Tribolium castaneum: one gene and its partners. The protein of the gene in region 1 purifies or fractionates together with the protein of each later gene. This does not show direct contact. Links are inferred from orthologs where the notes say so. Each region holds a gene or a part of one and is shown in the gene's direction. Other genes may lie near its edges.

What was found.
Region 2: the proteins of Polr3H (region 1) and Polr3C purify together in Homo sapiens (affinity purification with mass spectrometry; 5 studies listed by BioGRID and IntAct, with this or other methods). This does not show direct contact. The link is inferred for Tribolium castaneum from reciprocal best matches to the Homo sapiens genes POLR3H and POLR3C.
Region 3: the proteins of Polr3H (region 1) and Polr3B purify together in Homo sapiens (affinity purification with mass spectrometry; 8 studies listed by BioGRID and IntAct, with this or other methods). This does not show direct contact. The link is inferred for Tribolium castaneum from reciprocal best matches to the Homo sapiens genes POLR3H and POLR3B.
Region 4: the proteins of Polr3H (region 1) and Polr2H purify together in Homo sapiens (affinity purification with mass spectrometry; 5 studies listed by BioGRID and IntAct, with this or other methods). This does not show direct contact. The link is inferred for Tribolium castaneum from reciprocal best matches to the Homo sapiens genes POLR3H and POLR2H.

Annotation. Positions count from the first base shown.
Region 1 is NC_087394.1:25,643,772-25,649,711, forward strand, and holds the start of Polr3H (DNA-directed RNA polymerase III subunit RPC8), read left to right. Parts: upstream 1-1,903; 5' UTR 1,904-1,997; coding exon 1,998-2,108; intron 2,109-2,154; coding exon 2,155-2,338; intron 2,339-2,385; coding exon 2,386-2,639; intron 2,640-2,694; coding exon 2,695-2,745; 3' UTR 2,746-2,746; intron 2,747-2,787; exon of another isoform or gene 2,788-3,069; coding exon of another isoform or gene 3,070-3,218; intron 3,219-3,270; coding exon of another isoform or gene 3,271-3,419; intron 3,420-5,244; coding exon of another isoform or gene 5,245-5,440; intron 5,441-5,491; coding exon of another isoform or gene 5,492-5,783; intron 5,784-5,940. Other genes in the region: putative ATP-dependent RNA helicase TDRD12, read right to left, coding at 1-420, 821-1,205, 1,256-1,599; F-box/LRR-repeat protein 16, read right to left, coding at 3,070-3,218, 3,271-3,419, 5,245-5,440, 5,492-5,783.
Region 2 is NC_087402.1:6,495,775-6,501,904, forward strand, and holds the start of Polr3C (DNA-directed RNA polymerase III subunit RPC3), read left to right. Parts: upstream 1-2,286; 5' UTR 2,287-3,521; coding exon 3,522-3,668; intron 3,669-3,719; coding exon 3,720-4,446; intron 4,447-4,500; coding exon 4,501-5,012; intron 5,013-6,130. UniProt on the Homo sapiens protein: DNA-dependent RNA polymerase catalyzes the transcription of DNA into RNA using the four ribonucleoside triphosphates as substrates.
Region 3 is NC_087398.1:9,957,860-9,963,980, reverse strand, and holds the start of Polr3B (DNA-directed RNA polymerase III subunit RPC2), read left to right. Parts: upstream 1-2,731; 5' UTR 2,732-2,874; coding exon 2,875-2,925; intron 2,926-2,979; coding exon 2,980-3,134; intron 3,135-3,182; coding exon 3,183-3,359; intron 3,360-3,427; coding exon 3,428-3,716; intron 3,717-3,764; coding exon 3,765-4,087; intron 4,088-4,231; coding exon 4,232-4,475; intron 4,476-4,525; coding exon 4,526-4,726; intron 4,727-6,121. UniProt on the Homo sapiens protein: Catalytic core component of RNA polymerase III (Pol III), a DNA-dependent RNA polymerase which synthesizes small non-coding RNAs using the four ribonucleoside triphosphates as substrates.
Region 4 is NC_087396.1:10,296,924-10,302,353, reverse strand, and holds part of Polr2H (DNA-directed RNA polymerases I, II, and III subunit RPABC3), read left to right. Parts: intron 1-3,873; coding exon 3,874-4,057; intron 4,058-5,430. UniProt on the Homo sapiens protein: DNA-dependent RNA polymerase catalyzes the transcription of DNA into RNA using the four ribonucleoside triphosphates as substrates.

The DNA of each region.
Region 1 (5,940 bases):
ATGGCACACAACAATAGTTTTAAAAAGATGACTCTTGTCTCTTAATAATCCTTCAATGTAGTGTTTCTTGTTTTGTGACACTAAAAACTTTACTTCGAATTGGATGTTCCCATATAGAGCTGCTTCCAAATAATTCCCTATGCAAACAAGTGGTGTTACATAAATCGATTTGAGTAATTTTTGCAAATCCGATGTCCATTTTGTTGAAGCTACTATGAATTGGACTTTGGTGCTACACATCCTGTGTTCAAGCATTTCATCAGTGACTTCCAAAATTTTGTAAATTTCTTCGTGATTGTTTTTTAGTAAACAACTCGCGTCTTCTAACACCAAGTGACACATTCGTTTCAAATTAAAAGTCCGAGATTTAAGGCAATGTGTAAGAGTGCTGGGGATTGTAATCACGATATCAACGCTGTTCTGAAAATAACAAATGACTAAAAAATAGTCAAGCGCGATCATTTGAATTTATAAAAAGAGTAGGTGTTTTTTTCTTTGTGATTGTTAAGCTGGTGCAAACTGAAGGAAAAATCTATTTTAACTGAGTATTACCGTTCGAAACAGTATTATTACTTGACTCTTCGGCTTGATTAATTATGATAATCGGCGTTTTCATATAAGTTAAAAAACTAATAAGCCCACTCTGGTTATAAATTCTAATGATCTCATGATATGTTTCCCTTCACACGATTGGTCGCATTCGTGTTATTGCCATGGTTATCTGCTGTAACTATGGTTACAAGAGAATTTGTCAGTGGAAACCAACAGATGGCCCCACACAATGCGACCAGCTACGTGAAGGGCAAGCTGTGTGACTTACAATGTGGTGGACTGGATATGTCATGAGGGCAATTTTTGGTTTAGTGGCACTATTTTCAAACAGTTTTTTCATCAAATCGTATACATCTTCACAATGTTTGCTGTTTGGACAAATAATAACCACTAACGGGCCCTTGTACTTTGATAATTGTCGATATTTTTCCTCTTCAGCTGTACTGAAGGTACAAAGGGCCGGGAGATACGACATGGTTTTCCCCGACTTAGGCCCCCCTACCATAACAACATTCAATTGTCTGAAAATTGCGGGCCAGACGAATGATTGGATTGGTAAACTATACTTGTAGTTAAGGCGACCCAAAGCAGCTTGAATTTCGTCGCTAAAGTAGGTGTCTGTTAGCAACTTTACAGGCTGGGGGATCACCTCCCTGAAATTATTTTTCAATAATTTTAATTGGTCTAAAGTGGCGCAAAGTACCCGTGAACTAGGGTCTTCAAGTAGCTTTGTTTCTCAATTTTTGTCAATGTGCCAGGATTGAAAGTGAAGATCTTAGGGGTTTTCCCTGGATGTCGTGCCGATCGTAACAAGGGTTGAATCTTCCGCTCTTTGCAAACACGTTTGTGGTGCCCCTCGAACTCCAAATCCGGCGTTGTCCAGTCGGCGCTTTGGGTCCAATGGACGCAGTTCTGGCACTCACACGCCGGTTTCATGAACATCTCTGGATTGTCGATTTCGGGCTCAAAAGTCTGCTTTGGGGCTCCATCACTATCGGAGTGTTTTTGCTCGTCGCTGTCGAAAGGGTCTTTCTCCCTGGTGGCCATTGCGACTGAAAGGCCTTAAGTAGGGCAAAAACGTGTGCAAATTCACAAAAACACACCACAACAAAACACAACAAAAATTATTTAATTCTAGGGACTTCCAAATTTGAATGATGCAACCTGTTGCAAATATGAATAGTCTCCAAAAAGTAATTTTCGGAATTTCGGCTTTAAAACAATTACTGAAACAGTTGCATAACTAATCCCACGGTAAATTGTTACCAAATTCGGGTTTCTTATTGTAATAACTTTGCGAAATTAATTTTAAAAACTCTGGAAAATACGTTAGTTTATTTGGGTTTATAGATTGGTACCACTATTCCATGTGTTTTCGGCGCGTCCTGTGCAACACAACCTCAAAATTTCACGAAGCTGTTAACAAGTTTAACAATTGTTAAACGATGTTTATAGTGGCTGAAATGAAAAATGTGACCCGAATACCCCCCGAACTGTTCAACTTGAAACTAAACGACGCCATAGCCGGAGAATTAAACAAAAAACTAGCAAACAAGGTGAGATTAGAAGCACATTTCAGCCCCTTTTAACCCCCAGTTTAAGGTAGTCCTCAACGTTGGTTTGTGTATAGCTTTATACGACATTACCAGTCTCCAAGAATCGTTTATATTTCCCGGTGATGGGGCTTCACACACTAGAGTCAGCTTCAGGTACATCGTTTTTCGCCCCTTTATTGAGGAGATTCTCGTGGGGAAAATCAGGAGTTGCAGTCAGGAAGGGGTTCACGGTACGACAATTATATTGTGAAATGTTAAATATGATTGCGAATTTTAGTGACTCTTGGTTTCTTTGACGATATTTTGATCCCTCCCAGTGCCCTTCAGCACCCTTCAAAGTTTAACGAAACTGAACAAGCATGGGTGTGGGAGTATGACACAGGAGACGGGTGCAAACATGACCTTTTCATGGATGCTGGTGAAACGATCAAATTTCGCGTAACTGCGGAGTTTTTTAATGAGACTTGCCCCACTGGTAGTTTACAAGAAACACAAGACAAGTCCGAAAATAAAGTGCCGTATAGTTTAACTGTAAGAAAAAAACTTGGGTTTGTATGACTTGATTAAAATTATTTGTTTGTCACAGGGGAGCATAAATGAGCCAGGTTTGGGATTGTTGTCTTGGTGGGATAATTAAGGTAATTAATTTTATGGAAGGGATATAAAGTATGAACGTGTGTAAAATATCATTCTGATTTACTTGCGAAACATATTCTCATTATTTACACCACATTAACTAAATTAAAACTAGGGAAAAGTCGAATCAAACACGAGACAAGGTGACGAACGATACCGAATTAAACCGTAAAATCACAGCTTTCTTGATCAGTAACACATTGTGTGGCGCCATCTGTTGTTATTTTTCTGTCAATTTGTGATTGGTCAAGAAAGCCGTGTGTAAAATAATCGAGTGTTATTGCACAATCTAGTATCAAATATAACAAGTGGACAAGTGGTTCACTTATTCTATAACGAGGCAACGCGGAAGATGTTCTCTCAAATAATCGAAAAGTTCTTTTGATGCCCCTGGACAATTTGTTAATTCTAATTCTCTCATATGTCGTAACTGAATCAGACTTGATAAACCACTAGAAGTCAATAATGGACACCCTGAAATTTCGAATTCAGTTATTTATGTCATTATTTGTGGTATGTGGCAGACCTGCTAACGATAGTATTTGCAAATTTCTCATTCCGCATAAATGCTGAAGTCCAAAGTCTCGAATTTGTGAACACCAGCGCAGATAGAGTGCAGATAGAGACAACATTGTTGAAATGTAACCAATGCCAATGTCGGTGATGTGAACACATCTGTGAAATAAAGCGAATAAAGCGGATTGCGTTTTGATCAGTGGCCACCAGTTATTGCAACTTTAAAAAATACATTAAACACAATGCAAGTGTTTCTGCTAAAAGTATTTTTTACTATATCTCAAAAACTAATAATCGCATAGGAATCACGGTGTGTTGCTTTATATTTAATGTTTTTTTCCACACAAGTGAATTTTTTCAGAATTTTTTACCCTCCCTTATAGAGTTATTTATAAAAATATTAAGATCAGTATTAATAGTAATTAATACTAGTAATTAATATCAGTAATATCAGTAAAAATAAACATAAACTAATGGAAATTTTATTATTTATAGTGTTATCCTGAAACAAGGTTTTGGACAAAAAATTGATAATAAGCTTAATCTACCACCGCAGCATGTATTTAAATATTTTTTAATTAAAAATTAAAAAATAAAAAATTGGGAAAAATTACTTTTAGGATTTTTTGCACAAAATAACATCTTAAAATGCTTAAGAAATAATTAATTAATACAGATTGGAGTTTTATGAGGTTAAAACTTACTTTAATTAGGAAGCAAAAAATATTGGAAAAACAGAAATTACGTGTTAAAATCTGGTATTTTCCGATATATTTTTTTAATTCCTACATCAGGAATAATAAAAACATATTTTTTATTGTAAAACATTCTATTACAAAAACAAACAAAACGAAATATCTTTTGTAAAAAATTTTCTTGTTGAAAAAAATTGTTATTTATTGTATAAGGGTCTTAGATGTATTTTATCTCCGTAAAGATTTAAACTCGAGAAGTAAATTCGAGCGTTTAATTAAGGGGATAAAAAAAGAAGTTAATTAATCGTTTAACTTAAATATTGTTTTAAATTTGCTGGTGTAAAATTGGTTCGTTTTCTGTAAGAATTTCTTTCAACCAAAAAATGAACTCACTGTATCTATTTTTTATAAAAAAAAATTACACTACTTTAAACATTACAACATTAAAAAGTAATTTAGTCTGCAACTAGCATTTTTCCCTAGAAAGTAGAAGATACTGAAAATGAGAAACACTAATAATTGAAACACACAGTCTAAAATAAAAAATCAATATACTCGTATTAAGAGACTGAAATGCTAAAATGCTTACAAGCTGAATTAAAAAAATAAAAAAATAGTGAAATTGAATTCTATACACGGTGATTCAAAAGTACCGTACAATTTCTTGGGTGCTGAATTAAAAGTTCCTATGACAAAAAATTGTTTGAACCCTCTTTCACGAGATTTAGGTCTTCAAACTTAAATTTTTAAGTTAATTTTTGTTTCATATCATACTTTTTGACTTTCGTTAGCGAGCTCTTGCAACATTAAACAAATACAAATTAAAAAAAACAACAATTAATGTATAATGATGTGCAAAACAATTAAAAACTTGTAATTTCAACAATAAATTAAATTCAATAACCTAGAAAACAAAAGAGCAATAATCGATACCGTTGCTAAGGAAAACAAATTAAAAAATATATACTCTTTCAAATTAAATGATATCTCATCAGGCTGTGGAAATTTGAATTTAAGTTGGTTATACAGTTATTTTTAGTGTTTCATATATTTAATTAATTTGAAATATAAGGAATTGTAGAAATTTTTTTAAAAAATTCACAGGCACAGGGAGAAATATAAAGTGTTGAATAGCAAACGCTGAATTTTGTGTGGTTCTTAGTTTTAGAGATATAGAGATATACTTTTAATAAATGAATTTTTAGCTTAAAGTAAGGTAATTTTTGTCGTAATTATCTAGTTTTGCGTTGTGTTTAAATGAAATTGTGGCTTATAATTTGTTTGGTTACCGATCGAGTGTAAGCTCTTCTAATTGGTTGAGATCGCACGCGATATACTCCAAGGCAGCATCGGTGATTCGAGGACACCACGACAAGTCGAGCGATCTCAATTTTTGTAAATTCTCAGCTATGAGTTCGACGCCGTCGTCGGTGATTTTGCTGCATCCGGAGAGGCTGAGGACCGTTAGATTCGGGAGAGAATGAACTGCAAATTGATTTTTTAAAATTGTTTTTTTTTTCAATGAGAGTATGTTACCAATATTTACAACTCCGTGATTGGTGATTTCCCAACACGAGTGCAGTCTGAGGATATTGAGTGAGTTGCTTTGTTTTGGCGAAAAGTAACCTAAAGCGGCGTCCGTGACATGGTAGGCCTGGAGGGAGAATTCGTACAATGCAGGGAGGAGTTGAGCCACAGCGCCTACAGCTTCATCGGCAACATTTATACAGTCACTTAGTGTCAAAGAGACGATTCTAGGATTCAGACAGGCCCATAAACCAGCCTCCGTTATTTCATTACAGCCTGCTAGTTCCAATTCGTAGAGCGCCTGGAATACAGAGTTTTCGGTTTAAAACACTGAGAATTCGGACTGAAATCGTTGGTTTATTATGGAAATTTTATCGATCTGAGAAAGTTAAATAGCGTAGCATTTCGACACGACATTTTTTTAACGTAAAGAAATTATTTAGTAAAATGTAATAAGT
Region 2 (6,130 bases), on another chromosome or scaffold:
AAGTAGCTGTGTAACACAATAGCGTCATTTCTTCGACTTGATTGTGGTGGTTTTACGGCGTGAAGTAGTAATTGTGTGACAGATGTTAGACTGTTCCGAATAGTGTAGTGAACCGATTTAAGTAAACAAACAAAGATTTTACCATCAACAAACGACACAAGCTAAAAAAGTAGACACGGTTCTATTACTATTAATCAAATATTTCTTAAATGAGCTGTTTGATAAGATTAAAAAACAAGTGAACTAGTATTTATTTTAACTACGGAATGTTAGTTTTTATCTTGTCTCGGAGGCAATAAAAGATTAATAAAGTAAACAAACGTAAACTGCATCCATATACTTACAATAAATTCGTTTATGGTCAAATTTGTGCGAAAGCGGCCAAAATTACACATTGAAATTTTCCACTCAAGTTATTTCGTAGTTAACTGAACTACAATGAAATGACGAAACGCACGCCCACATTACTAAATTAATAATTGATAAGGATTGCAAATTTCAAGATTTTCTTTGAAAATTCTGATTCCCCGTATACAGCATTTTAAAAATCAAACGTAGATCTAAGTACAATTTAGAAAAATGTTTACGTACTTTTCGTTTTTAAATCTTTAAACAATATGTTTTTGGGCACGTTTTGCTTATTTTAAAACACTACAACACTCACGTTTCGCATTTTATTTACAAACATTTTTTCTCGAGAATTTTGCGAAAAATAAGATATTACCTACACTTATGACTAATTAGTATTTGCCTGAATAGGGGTCGCTCTTTTCAAAATCAATTATTTGTTCAGTTCTCAGGAATTTATTTTTTTCAAAAACGGAAACAGTAGTTTATCAATTATCAGATATTATGAAATAGGTGTGTTAGAATCAAATATTTATCTGAAATTGCATTCAAACATTTTATCAGCAATTGCCATTGTAAAAGTTTATACACAACTTCATTTCTCGCCGATTATTATACAATTTGTTCGTTTAATTAAAGCAACAGAACATATAATCCGACTATAAAGAAAAAATAATGACTATTTTTCCTTGTTAAACAAATTAATTATGTAACAATACATTAATTTCAAAGGTGTCAGGAGATAAATAAACAAGCCCAGACAGTTTAATCTCCAGTTAATAGACAGATTAATCATTATTATTTAAATTATTATAATTACAGTATGCAAATGTTGGTTTAAAAGTAAATGTAGTCCTTACTTAGGGAACTGGCATTTGATTGTTTAGCCATATTTTTGGGCAAACATTGGTATCAGTTAATTCCAAAAAGATAAGGTTTTTTTTAAGAAAAAGACAGTTTATCGTGATTTGAAGATATTTTTGGTTTGTTAACAACTAGTTCTAATAACTTCAGGTCTAGACAATACAGACGAGGGCGTGATGTCAAGGGGTTGGAGAGCTTAATTACTATTTCCCCTACACGTAACCGGTATGGTTTGAACAACATAATTAACTTGTACAGAAAAATGCACCAGAAATTTGAGGAATGAAAATTGTTTAATGACAGACATTAAAGTAATTTATTTTAAATATTACTTAACTTTTCAACTCATTAAAGTGTCTTTATCAAGCAATAACTCACCGAGGACACTTTTATATCTTTATGGTTTTTAGAAATGCAGGACTATAAATTTAATTAAAACCACTCGCCAGGCATTAGACTTCTAGGTAAATAATTTAAGTAGAGAAAATCCCACTTACCCCTCGTACAGGTAGACGACACTTTAGACCGACTCTAGTTATTTCATTATTTTTTGCTCGTAAAATAAAATTCACTGTGACTTTAATTCATTAGATGCTGTCACTGTCACATGAAACGTCGAAATTTTAAAATTTCTGACAGGATCTAGACGGCGAGACGAGAAAATTTAGAACATCACAATCCACCGGCGACTAGACACGCTGTGTGAGCGATGTTCAGTTGTTTCTACAGCACGCTTTCGCTATCGAATACACGGGAGGATAAAGCACAAAAAGAGAGTGGGAGTAGGTAAGCTTTTCCATAGGCTGCTGCAGCTTCCGAGGCGATCGATGATATTTTCTTCAGGCGACTTATGCTTCAATAAACATTTAAATTAAGTTTGGGGGCGGCGCAGATCATATCAGAATGCCATTGTCATCAAGTGGCCTACGACGATCGAATTAAATTGGCAACATTGGGCTCTTCAATTTCGTGTCAACGTTGCCAACTTAATTTCAAGTCTTAGGCTACTTTGGGTAAAATATTCAGGTTTAGGAGCCACCACAGTTTCATATTTTTTTAATGAGTTAAAATATGTTAAATCTTCTTTTGTGGTGGGTTTTGAGAATCACTGCCGGTTTATTCATGGCATGAAGGAATTCGGTTTAAATCGACCGGTATCATTTGTCATGCGTGCAGTTTTTGTTACCAAGCCGTCTAGCTCCCCTTCCTGTCACATCTACTTAGGCAATAATTTATGGACCTGCTGTATATGACTGGGTTAAAAAACTTGATATTAAATTTTTTTCTGGATTATTTTACGTGACTTGCTACTTTTATATTGATTTACTAATTGAATTGATGTCATTTGTTTATGACTTTTTTGTAGTAACGATTTGAGGGTGTGGCGGAGCCAACATTTTGTGCAATTATTCACATGTGTGACCTTAAATTTGTTTATTCAAATTTTATTTACTTTATTTTTTAATAAGCGGATTTGTGTTTTGAGTAGTCGTGATTTAAGCCACCTACAAGTCCACGTGTTTTTTTTAATAAAGTAGTAAAGTCGAGTTGCAAGTACAATTTATAAGTAAACCATCATCGGAGTTGCACAATGGTAAAGTCAAAACGACATAAATTATATGAATAATTTGTAATTAATTGAATTATGAACAATCTCATAAATATGGATTCGTAAACCCACAAGCCGACGACGCATCTGTTTCTATAAATCGCACCTCATCATCACCTTCTGCTTATAAATTTTTAATAAACTTATTTGTAAACAATTTAAAAATTGCATATGGAGGTTACACCTTCTTAGCGCCTATGCCTAATGAATTTTTCACGAGACTCAATTACAAAATTATTATTGAAAAATTTCAAAACTGAATTGAAGGCCCGATGCCTGTATGTAATTAGGATTATTTATTGCCAATAATTTACATCAGTTAATGGACTTGTGGCAGGTTTTTTAACAATAAATCAATTCGATTGCCGATTTAAAAATGTATTTAGGCAAGCGTTTGCATATTTAACAATAAAAAAAGTTTATTATTCAGGATTCAAAAACTGCTTATGCAACCAAATATATAACAAGTGTATGGCCTAGACGAAGCAAATGAAACTTTTAATTCCAACTTAAAGTAATTCGAATTAGGTTGCTTTGCACTAAGAAACAATAAATTAGTTCCTAATTAAATTAAATTAAAACCCACGGACCACTGATTATTTTCCCGGTAACAAAGAAACCTGTATTTCTACATTTTGACAAGCAGCCTAACCTAATTTTTTCTAAGTAATCACATTGCAATATTTTTTATTTGATCCCGATGTCGATTCAATACGGAAGGGTAGTTTCCCTTATTTTACTCGAACGTTTCGGCCCCGTGGTCGAGAAGGTGGGCACTTACTTGTTTCAGTACGGAACTGTGCCCCTTCTGTACATCAAAAAGCACACAGATTTGCCCATATCTAAGGTATTTTAAATGAAACTGTGCACTTTTTGCCCCTTATTTTATTAATTGTAGGTCAAGGAAGCTTTATGTATTTTAATAAAGTACAGATTGGTCACGTTCACCCCCAATCGCAATGAAAACGTTGCAAATTATACACTGCAACATGAGCGTGTTTTATTAATGTTGCGCTACGCCAAATACATTAATTTAATTAAAAAGAAATTTGGGACTGAGTGTGAATTAATTATGGAAGAATTGCTACAGCGGAGCTACTGGACGGCGTCTGAATTAATCCTGAAAGTGATTGAGAGACTGAAAAAAGATCATAACAAAAACGTGACAATTTTAGCTTTAAGAGAAAAATTTTTTTCATTGTTGGCCGCGCAATATTTGATACGGTTGCCGTATAGTATGGAAGATAAACCTGTTCCTAGTTTAGTGATAAAAGAGACGGAACAGTTTGCACCTCCGACAATTGATTTTAAACAAATTGCCTTAGTTCAGAGCAATAAAGCACCAGTGGATTCTCTCCCTGACCAGGGCGTTTACTGGACTGTTAACTTCGATAGGTTTCATCAAGACATGAGAGACAAATTAATTGTGAATGCTTTTATTAAAAAGTTTGACGAAAACGCGGGTGAATTTGTCAGACTTTTGCTACAACAAATGTACATTAGGACACAGCCTTGGGCTGAGGTCTCGAATCCAGTCCCTATTGTTGAAATTCGGGACCTTGTAAGGAAACAAGCCACTCATCAACACCTTTTGGCGTTTTTTGACCAATACGTTAATGTCTTGGGTTAGTCATTAGTCGTTAGTCAAAGTTGTTGCCAGTCCAAATATTTTTTTTTAGAGCAAGACAGTTCTAAATTAATTAGACAGTCGGGAGAGGCAGGTGGCGGTTCTTTTCAAATTTTTCTGAAAGAGACGTTCACTCAATTTGCATGGGAGACTGTGGAACAGATAGTTTTGGAAAAATTCGATACTAAAGCCGCCCGGATTTTCCGTCTTGTTAAGTCGAAACAATACATAGAACCGGATCAGATTCAACAACTGGCAATGATTCCGGCTAAAGAAGCAAAACGGCTCTCTTATCAGCTCCTGGAAGAGAATTTTTTGCAAGTCCAGGATTTGAAAAAATCGACCAGTAATGGTCCTAATAAAAGCTTCACTTTGTTTTATACAAACTTGGACCAAATCGTGCGAATGACTCTAGAATTGTGTTATAAAACTTTATTTAATATTATGACTAGAAAAAATCACGAAAGGTTGGTTCATAAGAGAATTATCGATAAGAAACAACGTGTTGACACGATTATTATGGGGATGAGGGCACAGGGGGCGGCAGACGAGCAATTATCTGACGTAAGTTTTTCTTATTTTTATATTTTGGCCGTGGTTAGCCGTCTGCACATTTGTCCGAACAATATTATTGCGGATAAATAACCGACAAAATATCTGTCCGCACATGTCTGTATAGGAGCTCACATTGTTAAATTTATATAATCTTTAGTAATATTATTTTAAGTACTCTTTCAATTGATTATTTTTTGACGATTATGAAAGCCAGAAAATCATTCATTTTCATATGGTTTACTTAACATCTGCTACCAGTAATTTTTTGGAATAAATTAAATGCTGGGTGAAAATAGTAATTGTTAGGTAAAAAATAAATATAAACGCTGTGTGAAAACATAAGTTCAACTGAAGATAATTTATAGTATTTAAGAAAAAAAAATCAATTTTTTTTATTAATTAGAAGAGGGGCTACTACTTTTTATTTTTTAGAGAGGTTTTTAATCAAATTTTTACATCAAAAATTGTTTGACTAGCATAGCAAATATCTACCTTAGCAAGTGGATGTTAGATACTTAGGGAGGTATATGTTTTATTAGGAGTAATTACTATTATTATTTCTTAGAAAATCTCATTAAAAGAAAATTATCACTTTGCATTTAGATTATTTTACCAAGCATTTACAATATTTCACTTAGTAAATGACTATTATTAACCTAGCAGATTGTTAGTATCTGTAGTTTTTAGTCTGTATGTTTTTTTTTTTTGAATTAGAGATTTTTTAAATTTACGTCTGTGAAACAAAACTACCAGGTTCTAACAAAGCGATCATTATAAGTGTTAAATTTGTCGTACTTATATTAAATTATTAAATATTATTTATTAAATATTCAAAAAAATGGTCAAAAACTAGTTATCGAACACCACACGAGAGTGGGAATAAATTAAAATAATTTTTTACACAAATTTTTTGAAACGTGTTGTCATTATTAATTACATGTTTGCGCGGAAGGCTAACCATGACCTTAAAGTCTAGCTAACTAAGCCTTTAAATCGAAATGTTGTGGAAAAGCGTGCATTTTTTATGTAAGTTATTGTGGGGTATTTAAAAATGTTGAGTCATAGATTTTTTTAATTCAACGAAAAAGATGTTTTGGTGAAAAATTTACAAAAACCTAACTTTTGCA
Region 3 (6,121 bases), on another chromosome or scaffold:
CAACCAGGATTTCAGTTACATGTGTGTGATGTGTGAAAATTTTATTTTGTTGGTAGGTATTTTATTATTGCTTTAAACATCATGCAGTGATTTTTTTATTGAAAAGTTGTTAAAAAATTAATAAAATTACAATATTATGTATACGATCCAATAAAGTTAATAAATATTTTGGAGTTGGATCGCGAAATATCTACGATTTGTTGAAATTTTCTAAAGTCTTCAGAAAATCAAATTTATTAAAATACAACAGAAATGTCAGGTAGAACTAGCAAGACGTTAAAACTAGGTCGCAAAACTCTTAGGTTTTGCTACCTGGTGTCCACTTGCGGCCTTTGCTTCTGAAAACTGCTGTCATAATCCAATAAATGTTAATAGCTTTTAGCCGAATTAGGACGGGGCGCACACCAGGACATCTTCACCCGAAATTCCAACGAAAGTGAGCTGTTAGTCACACCATTCCTTCCCCTTAATAATTATGATGCAAATCCGGTTCTGTATCGTATGGCTATTATGACATCAACACAATTGATAACGTCAACTCGTAGACATGAATGTGTTATATTTAGATAATTCCCCTCTTCAAAGTCGTTCCGCCATTGGTTGAACGAGTCGGTGTTGTATTGCCGGCACCAATGGGGACACGCTTTGCAAGGGGATCCTTATTGCGTTTCTATGCTCGCGTAATTTTTTTCTGTTATTCCGACACTCTGTACAGTCATGCCTAAATGTCAAGAGGGGGAAGGAAAATCAAAGAGAAAATTGACGACATTTTTTTTAAAACTAGCAGGGTACGCAACAGAAAAGTTTAAAGAATTTTTAAACTGATTATTAGAATATTAGAAAATGCTAATTAGTACATCGTCAATTAGTACTTTAAAAAAGTGATCATTTTTTGAAAATATTTTTTTTAGTTTTACTGCGGCGATTTTTTGGTAAAAGATTATACTCTAAAAATTACTTCTAATTCAATAATATTGTTTTTGAAGCAGTGTTTTTTTTAAATAAAATATTAAAGTTGCGTTCCAAGTTCATTACTACGATTTTTGGAATTTGTATCTATAGATGTTTTTTATTAGAGTAATTTGATTAGTAAAATTTTTCGCAAATAAAAATTATTTTGTGGTAATTACAAATTAAAAAAATAATGATTTGTTAAAGTGCAATGCTCATTAGGTGACTATAATAAAATAAATAAAAATAAATCATTAAAACTGTTCTAGCGTTCTAAAGTGTTTTTTTTTTTATTTTTTCAAACACAATAGCAATGCCAATTAATTGTGAACACCATCAGTAATTGAACTTTTCTTTGTCATTCTTAATAAGTTATTAATTTTATCACCAACGAGCTTAGGAAATGTAATAGACAAAACTTTTTATTTAAAAGAATACTCATTTTTCCCATGTTCCGTTCAAATAAGCTTTGTTAGGAGGTTGCACAATGAGTGATAGTAAAAAGAATTATACAATTCACACAGTATACTCGTACATGTTACTTCTCAATGTTCTCATGTTCTCACAGAATTCATGTTTTTTTACAATAGATATACTTATTTCGTCTTTTGATATGTAAAGTAAAAATAACTGCTAAAAATAGTTATTAATAATACGAGTGCGAAAACACAAGCTTAAAGTTCGAGGGCTGTCGTTATGCAACGAGCGTATGCGAGAACCCGGAACTTTAAGCGTTTTCGCATAAGTATTATTAAGTTTTTTTTGTTGGAACATTTTACTTTAAAACACGTTGCTATGAGAAGCGAGTTTTAAAATAGTGAAAACATTAATTTAAAACACGTTACTATGGGAAGCGTCTTTTAAAATAGTGAAAACACGCTGCTATGGGAAACGTGTTTTAAAATAGTGTTTTTCTATTTCGGTTTCGTACTGAGGTCACTTTCATTACGATACGCGATTTGCGTATCGTAATATCCAACGGAGTTCTATAATAATTACACTAAAACCAGGGTAATTTATTTGGATAATGTTTACAACCTAGTTTTCTGACAATCATTTGTTTCAAATGTATATTTTAATCAAATAAATCAAATATGAACCTTTAGAGGCTCTTGTACCATACATGATTCAGTGCAAGTAAGTAATTTGAGATCTCATATACTAATATAGTCTAGGATTCAGATATTAAAAAAGGCTTAAAATTTTACCAACAAAAAACATTTTTTTAATTTACCACTTATAGAAAACTTTGTATATAATGAACTGATTTTGATGCATTTTCTGAATATGTTATAACTTACAGCCGGATTCCACTGTATTTTATTTGCTATTTTAGATTGTTCAGTAAGTTTTTATAGGCAACCAATCATACGATTTTTCGAACGGAGGCTTCTTTCGTAACAAAACACGGTGGCAAAGTTTCTTTTCTAAATCTGACGTCCCTTAAGTAGCATATCACCTAAAAATGATTTTTTTTATTAATTTTAATTTTTTATTAATGACAATAAATTTCATGGCAATGTAAAAGTATACTAATTTCACATTACATTATTTGGATTTTTATCAGTACTTACAATTTCAAAGTACCCATAAAAAATTATGTAAAGTATTTGTGAAATCTGGTCTTTAAAACACACACTATATAAGTATATAGTATAAGACTAGTATATATAGTATAAAACTATAGTATATTAAAGTTAATATACTATTAAAATTTTGAAATTTTTAATAGTTTTTGCAATCGTGTTTTAATGCAACCGAAAAAAACTCAGTTCGAAAAACCGTATAATTGGTTGCCTGTACACCCAACTCTCTACACCACATAACCTACATGTTTAACTTCACATTTTCAACATGTAAACAAATAGTTATTAAGCGTAACAGTGATAAACTAATTAATAAGTTGCAACAAAAAGCGCTGAAATGGATTTTGACGATCCCGCCCTTCTCAAAAAACCAATCAAAGAAATCGAAGTAATTCAAGTTTCAAATTACAAAACCTAAAAGGTATTCAAAAATCATTTTTAGGAAAAATGGAAACTAGTGCCCGCCTTTTTAAAAGTCAAAGGATTAGTAAAGCAACACATTGATTCGTTCAATTACTTCATCAACGTTGATATTAAGAAAATCGTGGAAGCCAACAACAAACTAGTTTGTGATGCCGATCCTTTATTCTACGTCAAGTAAATTATAAGGCGCTTTATAAGTTTGGTTTTATCTTAATTTCGTAGATATACAAATGTTTATGTTGGACGACCGGACGTTGACGAAGGCTTCAACATTAGCAAACCTACAACCCCTCATGAATGTAGGCTGAGGGACATGACGTACTCAGCCCCCATTTCCGTAGATATTGAGTACACTAGAGGCACTCAGCGGGTATCCAAAGCTGGTTTAATGATTGGCAGGTAATTTATTAGAAAAATAAAAAAAAATATTGTAAAAACACCAATAATTTTTTTAAATAACAATTTAGAATGCCAATTATGCTCCGTTCCTCCAACTGCGTCCTCACCAACAAATCCGAGTACGAATTGGCAAAAATGAACGAATGTCCTTTAGACCCCGGCGGCTATTTCGTCGTCAAAGGCCAAGAAAAAGTGATCTTAATCCAAGAACAGCTCTCCAAAAATCGAATGATAGTTGAAGAGTCCAAATTTGGGGTCCAATGCGCTGTCACCAGCTCCACACATGAGAAGAAGTCGCGAACCAACGTCGTATGCAAGGCCAACAAGTACTACCTAGGACATAACTCCCTAACTGACGTAATTATTTTGTGCATTCATCGTCAAATTCCCAACAAATTTTTGCAGTTAGTCCCTGTTTCAATCATCTTCAAAGCTTTGGATGTGACAAGTGATAAAGAAATCTGCGAATTGATCGGAGTTGAGGATATTTCTAAACTCACTCCAACGTTAGAGGAGTGCCACACTTTAAAAATTTACACTCAGCTGGGGGCACTTAAACACATAGGTTCGAAATTAGTAGCTAAACGTTACGTGACGTCTGCTAGCAAAATGAAAACGCCAGTTGATGAAGCGAGGGACGTTTTGGCGACCACTGTTCTAGCCCACGTGCCTGTGGAAAACTACAATTTCAGGATGAAGGCCATTTATTTGGGAGTGATGGTCAAAAGGTAAATAAAAAAGTCAGATCATAATCACCGGGTGACAAAAAATTGAAATTTTAATTTGGCAACCCTGAGTATAAAATTCTCTTGTCAATTGTCTGAGTGTTGCCAATTTCAAGGTACAATATTTAACAATTTTTTGTAAAAAAGGGTGATTGAGGCACAGTCGGACAAGAAATTCATGGATGACAAAGACTACTACGGCAACAAGCGTCTCGAATTGGCCGGCTCTCTCCTTTCTCTTATGTTCGAGGACGTTTTCAAACGCTTTAACTGGGAACTAAAATCCATCGCTGAAAAAACCATCCCAAAAATCCGAGCGACTCAATTCGACGTTGTCAAGTATATGCGCTCGGATCTGATCACCAATTGTCTGGTCTACGCAATTTCGACGGTAGCCAATCACAAATCGCCGCGATTCGGCTTCTGATTGGTCGGTTTCAGGGCAATTGGACCATCAAGCGATTCCGAATGGAGCGTTTGGGTGTGACTCAGGTTTTGTCACGGTTGAGCTACATTTCCGCTTTGGGGATGATGACCAGAGTTAATTCGCAGTTTGAGAAAACGAGGAAGGTTTCAGGACCCAGGTCTCTGCAGCCGAGTCAGTGGGGAATGCTGTGTCCGAGCGATACACCCGAAGGAGAGGTATATAGTAAATTTTGTTTGCTTTTTTATACATAATATTACGGAGCAAATTAAATTCTCTGACTCTTTTTTGTCTTACGCCATTTAGTTCTGTTTTTATCATTGATTGTCTAGCAATAGCGTTCGCACGTTTTTAAATTGTGCTCGTTGCTCGCAAAATGCAAACACTTCAGTTAAAACCATACAACAAAAATTGATAGAATAAAGTAGCTGTTTGGTGATTTTTTTATTCGATCGGTGAAAAAATTAAAAAAAAAATTCTCGATGTACTTATAGGGAAAAACGTTCTATTATACACGTAAAGAAAAGTTGGCATTATCTGCTCGTAATTCCTTTCAGAAACCCATCACTCACAGATAATGAACAGCTTTTCTTTACTTGTATAATAAACGACTATTTTTTAACGATTACCAATCTGGTCAGCTGGAATAAGTATTATTGGTTGCATATTTATAGAAATTCAGAATAACTCACTATTGATTCACCCTGTATAGAAGTCTAACTTTACTAATAATTAAGCTACAGAAGACGGGAGCTGAGCAGGGTTATCCTGTATGAATGATTTGTATAAAATTTCCTTTTTTTTTGTTAATACGACTTCTTTACCTTGTCAGGCTCTGTTGAGCAGAGTTTAAAACATCGAACGCAAGCCAATGCTGTAGTTAATATAGTTATTAATAATACGAGAGCAAAAGCTTAAGCTTAAAGTTCTAGAGCTGTCGTTATGCAACGAGCTTATGCGAGTGTAATTTAACTTTTTTTGTTGGAATATTTTAATTTAAAACACGTTGCTGTGGGAAGCCTTTTTTGCTAAAAATTAAGATAGGCAATATCTATAGTCAAAAATTTTATTTACCAAAAAAAAATTCATAACTCGAAAACTAAAAGTCGTAGAGCAATGCGGTTTGTTCCATTGAATTCAGCGGCTTATTTTGCGTATAAAACCATCTTTTAACAAGATGTAAACTTTTAAAGTTTTTTGCTAAAAATTAAGATAGGCAATATCTATGGTGAAAAATTTTATTTACAAAAAAAAAAAAATAATTCATAACTCGAAAACTAAAAGTCGTAGAGCAATGCGGTTTGTTCCATTGAATTCAGCGGCTGATTTTGCGTATAAAACCATCTTTTAACAAGATGTAAAGTTTTAAAGTTTTTTGCTAAAAATTAAGATAGGTAATATCTATAGCGAAAAATTTTATTTACCAAAAAAATTCATAACTCGAAAACTAAAAGTCGTAGAGCAATGCGGTTTGTTCCATTAAATTCAGCGGTTCATTTTGCGTATAAAACCACCTTTTAACAAGATGTAAACTTTTAAAGTTTTTTGCTAAAAATTAAGATAGGCAATATCTATAGTGAAAAATTTTATTTACAAAAAAAATAATTCATAAC
Region 4 (5,430 bases), on another chromosome or scaffold:
GATGTATCCATTAGCACCATACAAATCCACACACGCATCGATCGTCTCCAGAAGCTTGCACTTGGAGTGGATCCAAAGGCAGGATTGCGGGGGCGCTACCTAGTTTCGGTTGTCGTAGGCCGAACGGAGATGGTGTTGGAAGTAGAAGGGCGGTTTATTGATCGTCGGTCGTATCAGCTGACCGTCATCGAGAGCGCAAGGGCGCGGCGAACTCACGTATCAAGGATAGGGACTCGACCCTGTGGCGCGGTTTCCCTCTCCATGAATGGGGAGCAGTTGCTATCGATCCTCGGTGACGACGCTGACGACGCCTTCTCCGTCGCCGGTACCATGACCAGCGCTCTCGGTTATGTAGTCGACCGCAACACTGTTGGATAATCCAGTCTTCGGGGAATCCTCGTTGTGTAATAACACGTCAATGACGAATTTTTCGACCACTTGCCCAACATCAACAAACAACAAACGAGGTTCGATTTTCTCTCGGATACGTTCGAATTCACGAAATCCGAAGGACAAGTTTCATAATTTTCACGGATTCGGTTTTAATGAGTCTTGTTGGCAAGGTCGTTCGATTAAAATACGCACGGTGCGTATCAAGCTGACACGATTGTTTATGTTTTCGTTATGTTCGCGTCATTGTTTATCGTGTGGTGTGGCATTTAGGCAACATCGGGATCAGTAGTGGTTGTTTCTGTAATTTTCCTGCTCAATGGATTAAACAGAACGGTGGGAATATGTTAAGGTGACGTGTTTGCGTTGTTTGATCACATGATTGGAAATTTTGGATGCAATGTGATCACTGATCACACATTTATGACAATAATTAAGGTATTATTGTTGTTGTTACGTCATTGTTTCCGCTCCTAAAATATTTTCTTTATCTCTTGTTATCTCAAGTGTAGATCTGTTCTCGCGGATTAATTTGCGCGTTTCAGGATCGTAAATTTTATTCAAGACAAATTGCTGGGATAAAACAAAGAATGTTCAATAATCTTCGCAGATAATAAAATAACGCGTAGCGGATGATTTTCCTGAACGAAAGCTTCGTTCTACTGTTGATCGAATATTGTAATTGGAAATCAATAAGATCGTTTTTTGAAAATTGCTTTTCTTTTTATTGCCGTTACTAATACAATGCGGAATTCTCATGTATTTACCTACATTATAATAAGTGTTCACGTAGGTGTTTAGTTCATAAATTGTGGAACTTGCTCGTTAGGTTTTCTGCAGGTTTTAAGCCTACAGATGACCAACAATAATACAGTGTGCAATTATCGTTAGATTAATGATCCATTTAATTTAAAAGAAGTCTTGAAAGACGTACTTACAGGTAATTTTCTGATTTATTTTCTCAAGTCTAAGAATAACTCGTGTGTATGCAGTTAGGATTCAATAATAAAGCACCGTTTACATTGAAGTACAAGTCTTTGTACTCCTTGTTTGATGGATTCATGTTTTTATACTGTTATGGATAAAATGCCTCATTAGGGCATCAAATTAGTTCATTAAACCCTAAATAAATGTGTGGATCCTAATTCTTGGAAAATGCATGAGTAATTGTTTAAAACGAGTAGTGTATAGTCTATCACTATTTTAACTTTTTTTGCGTAGGATGCTATCAAACACGTAAACAATTAAATACGTTCGATATAACATCTTTCTCATGTAACATTAATTCTAAATATACGAGTATTAAATAATAAAGGAAACGTCACTGAATAGAATCTTGTTACATCATTTATTTCCAGTGTCAAAGAACTTAGTTTATTAAATATTTAGAACCAATTAACGAATATACCGACTTTTGAAAGTTGTTAATTTATTAATTTTATTTATCTAATATTTAGGAAAACAAAATCAATTTTCAGTTTGAATAAGCCGAAAGGTGACAACTCTGGGTATTTATAGAGTGAGTTATCCTTGAGACTCTTCTGAATGTCATGGTTTGTAAACGTAGTGCAAGAAGCTACACACAAATGTATGAATAAGGGATTGCTTTTTTGTTGAAATGATTTCTAAAAAATACATGTTGTAGCAAAAAAAAATCTAGTCAACTTTATCAGGGACTTAGGTGAAAAATAAGTAAAAGTTAGGTACTGCAAACTGTTCAAAAGTTTTAAAAACTTTTTATCAACCATAAATCAATATCGTATTGATTAAACTTTGTTGTCTTTTTTTTAAATATTAATTAACAGTATTTTAACGCAATATACTTTGTGAGTGTGAGTAAAAGGAACAATTAATTGTAGTTTAGGTTGTTATTTCAAAGAGGTTTTAAAGACCTTTCTTTAAAACCTCTTTATGTTAACATACCTTTATGTTAAAACTACGACGATTTGGCTTATCTATAGATATTTGTATACTTTTAAGTAAAAAGAAATATAAATTTATTTTTTTACTTTTAACATTATCTTCCACTGTTATTTAGTTATTTACTTATATTGTTATGTATTTTCTTGCATATTTTCTACATACATACATTGTGGTAAAGTCCTACATAGGCCGAAATCATTTTTTTTTATATGCAACTAATAATACTAGAATAATACCGATTTCAGCTGTCCAGATCGGTAATAGTCCAAAAAGTTATTTCACAATTACATTGCTCTTAGTTTTGCCTAGTTTGTCTTAACGGTTTTATTATTTAAAAGATCAAAAAACAATGTTTTAATGGACGTTTTAAAAATCAAACGCAGTATCCATATAATAAGTGTAAATACTAATTAGTATTTTTTGTTGCGTCTACAGGGTGAGTCAATAGTGGGTGACTTCTGACATGTCCTATGATGCAACCAAAAATACTAATTGCACTGACCACTTGGAGCTTCATTTGACTTTTAAAAACATTAATTGAATCAACACTGGTTTTTTATCTTTTAAATAATAATAATCTATAATGAAACCTTAGCAAAACTGTCAAGACAAACTTGACACTACCCAGAACAATGTAAACTTGGATTAAATTTAATTTTTGTAACGATTACCGATCTGGTCAGCTGGAATCGCTACTATTGGTTGCATATTTATAGAAATTCAGAAATAACCCACTATTGACTCACCCTGTATAACGACATGTTGGAAATAACCCATAAATAATTCACCCAGTATGAATCGATGAATTGTGAGGAAATGCTTCTGTTATTATTTATTGACCATGCAAATAGAATAACTTTTATAAGCTTATTTAGAAAACATTATTATTATTATTATTGTAGTGGTGTTTTGAGTTTCCAATTTTTCCCACGTATTATCTGTTGCATTAAATTGTAATCTGCTAGTTTCTGTACAAAAGGAACCGAAATTTAGAATTTCCTTTTGTTAAATTATCATTCTTGCAGACTCACTTCTGCAGTTTATGATTTTCAGGTGATTTCGCTTTGTTTGAAAACATTTTAATTTAAAATTAATATTTAGTGTGTGAGAGAGAGAAGGTTCGCCGCTTGTTTTTCCGGGAGCAGCCTCAAAATAAACTCAATTTCAAGCCAGCGTTATTTTCCGGAGTAGCGGAATTATTAACAGAGCTCTCTTCTGGTAATTTAGTTCATGAAATTGAACATTAGGGTTTTCCCTCGCAGTTAGGTATAAATAAATTCAGGCTGAACAGCCGTCGGAAAAATTCAAAAACGTTTTTCAACTTCAGTTGATATTGACAATTTATTTGTGATTTGTTGGAAGATTGGCGTCAACAAATCGAACTTGATTATTGAGTAAAATGGACGGACCAAGGAATTTTATAAAAATTGTTTATTGTCACTTTTAACAATGATCGATAGGAAACCTTTGCTCGGGGCGTTTTATTTTTATTGAATATTATATTTCTCGCTTCGACGGATTCAATTCTCTTATTTGATTTGACTCTTGGATTTTTTATAGGTGACAAATTCCGATTGGTTTTGGCAACAACTCTGCGAGAGGATGGTTATCCCGATAGTGGCGATTGGAATCCTCAGGGCTTAGAAACAGAAGGTTCGCGTGCCGACAGCTTTGAGTATGTCATGTCAGGAAAAGTTTACCGTATCGAGGGTGACGAAGCAGCAGTGGAACCATCGAGCAGACTGTGAGTATAAACATTAAATTACGACCCGCATTGGATTTATCGCGTTTCCTCTATTTGAAATTTGCATTTTAATGCGCTGTTGTACTGCCTTTATATCGGTCGTTACACCACTAAAAGGGAAATACGAGATTGTACGACGTCCACTCATATTATATTGAGCTGCATTATGTTGTAGTGATTTTCCTGATAAGTGAGCCACAGCTATTTATTTTTATGGATGCAATATATTTAATAATAGGCTTTATTACGATTTTTATCATTCTTTACTTGCTTTCGACGATTGTTTTTACTTAAGACGCAAAAGAAACTTCTAGAGGAGTAAGTTTTCTTTTGGTAACTTACTGACGGTGCTTGGAGCGTGGATACGGATATCTAAAGCTTAGGATGCGAAACGACGTACAAACAAAACGTTCTCGTTCTTGATGGTGTTTTTTAATGACGCCAGAGAGCGCAGTTGTTTCACCTTCAAGTTTTCAGAGCAGTGAATTTAAAAAATTGTTGTCTTTGTATATAATTAGCACAAGGCAAAGAAATGAAATACAGGCAGATAGAGCATTCAATTCTCAATTATAAGAGATAAAAATGATGCAAAAATTTTATTGTAAACTATGTTTAAAAAAATTCAAATTTATATTAATTTGCACTCTGCCCTATATTTTTCAAAACTTTGCGAATACAGTTACAGTACAAGAAAAATATTAGGAAGAAAGTTGTAAAGAATTAAATTTTATACAAAAAAAAACCGCGACACTGTATTTCTATCTTTTACAATTTTGGTATAAATTAACTTTGTTAGTTGACCACCAGTAAAAGGTAAAATGAAAGAAATCCAACGCTTAAGCACCTTTGAACGTCTTTGACGCTTAAACCGTTGATGATAGAGATACGGTCTCGCAGACTTTTCTAAAAGAAAATTTTTTCCATCTTTCTTTCTCATATTTTTCTTGTATCTTTAACCGTATTCGCAGCGTTTTGAAAAATACGGGATGAATCGCAAAAATCTTAAATAATTTTCTTCTCACGTTTTTCATGAAAATTTTAGTCGTCAGTTTTTCTCAGTCTGCAAAGCTCAACATTTTAACACTTTTTCCAAGTAATTAGTGAATTGGGTTTCAATTTGTACCGGAAAAGTCCTGTGATTTCGTATCTCGTTCGTCTCCTAAGTTATTGCCCTCCGTAAGCGTGGATTAATAGAATATTTTTAGCAACTGAATCGTAAGAGTAATTTGCGTGTGAAGTTTTAACAAAAATATTTGCATGCCACTGTTTTAACAGAATATAAGCTTGTTAAACTGCAGGTATAACTTTAATTCTTTCTCTTTAACGTTACATTTTGTTGAGTCTTTATTTGCGTATAAAAATTGCAAAATACA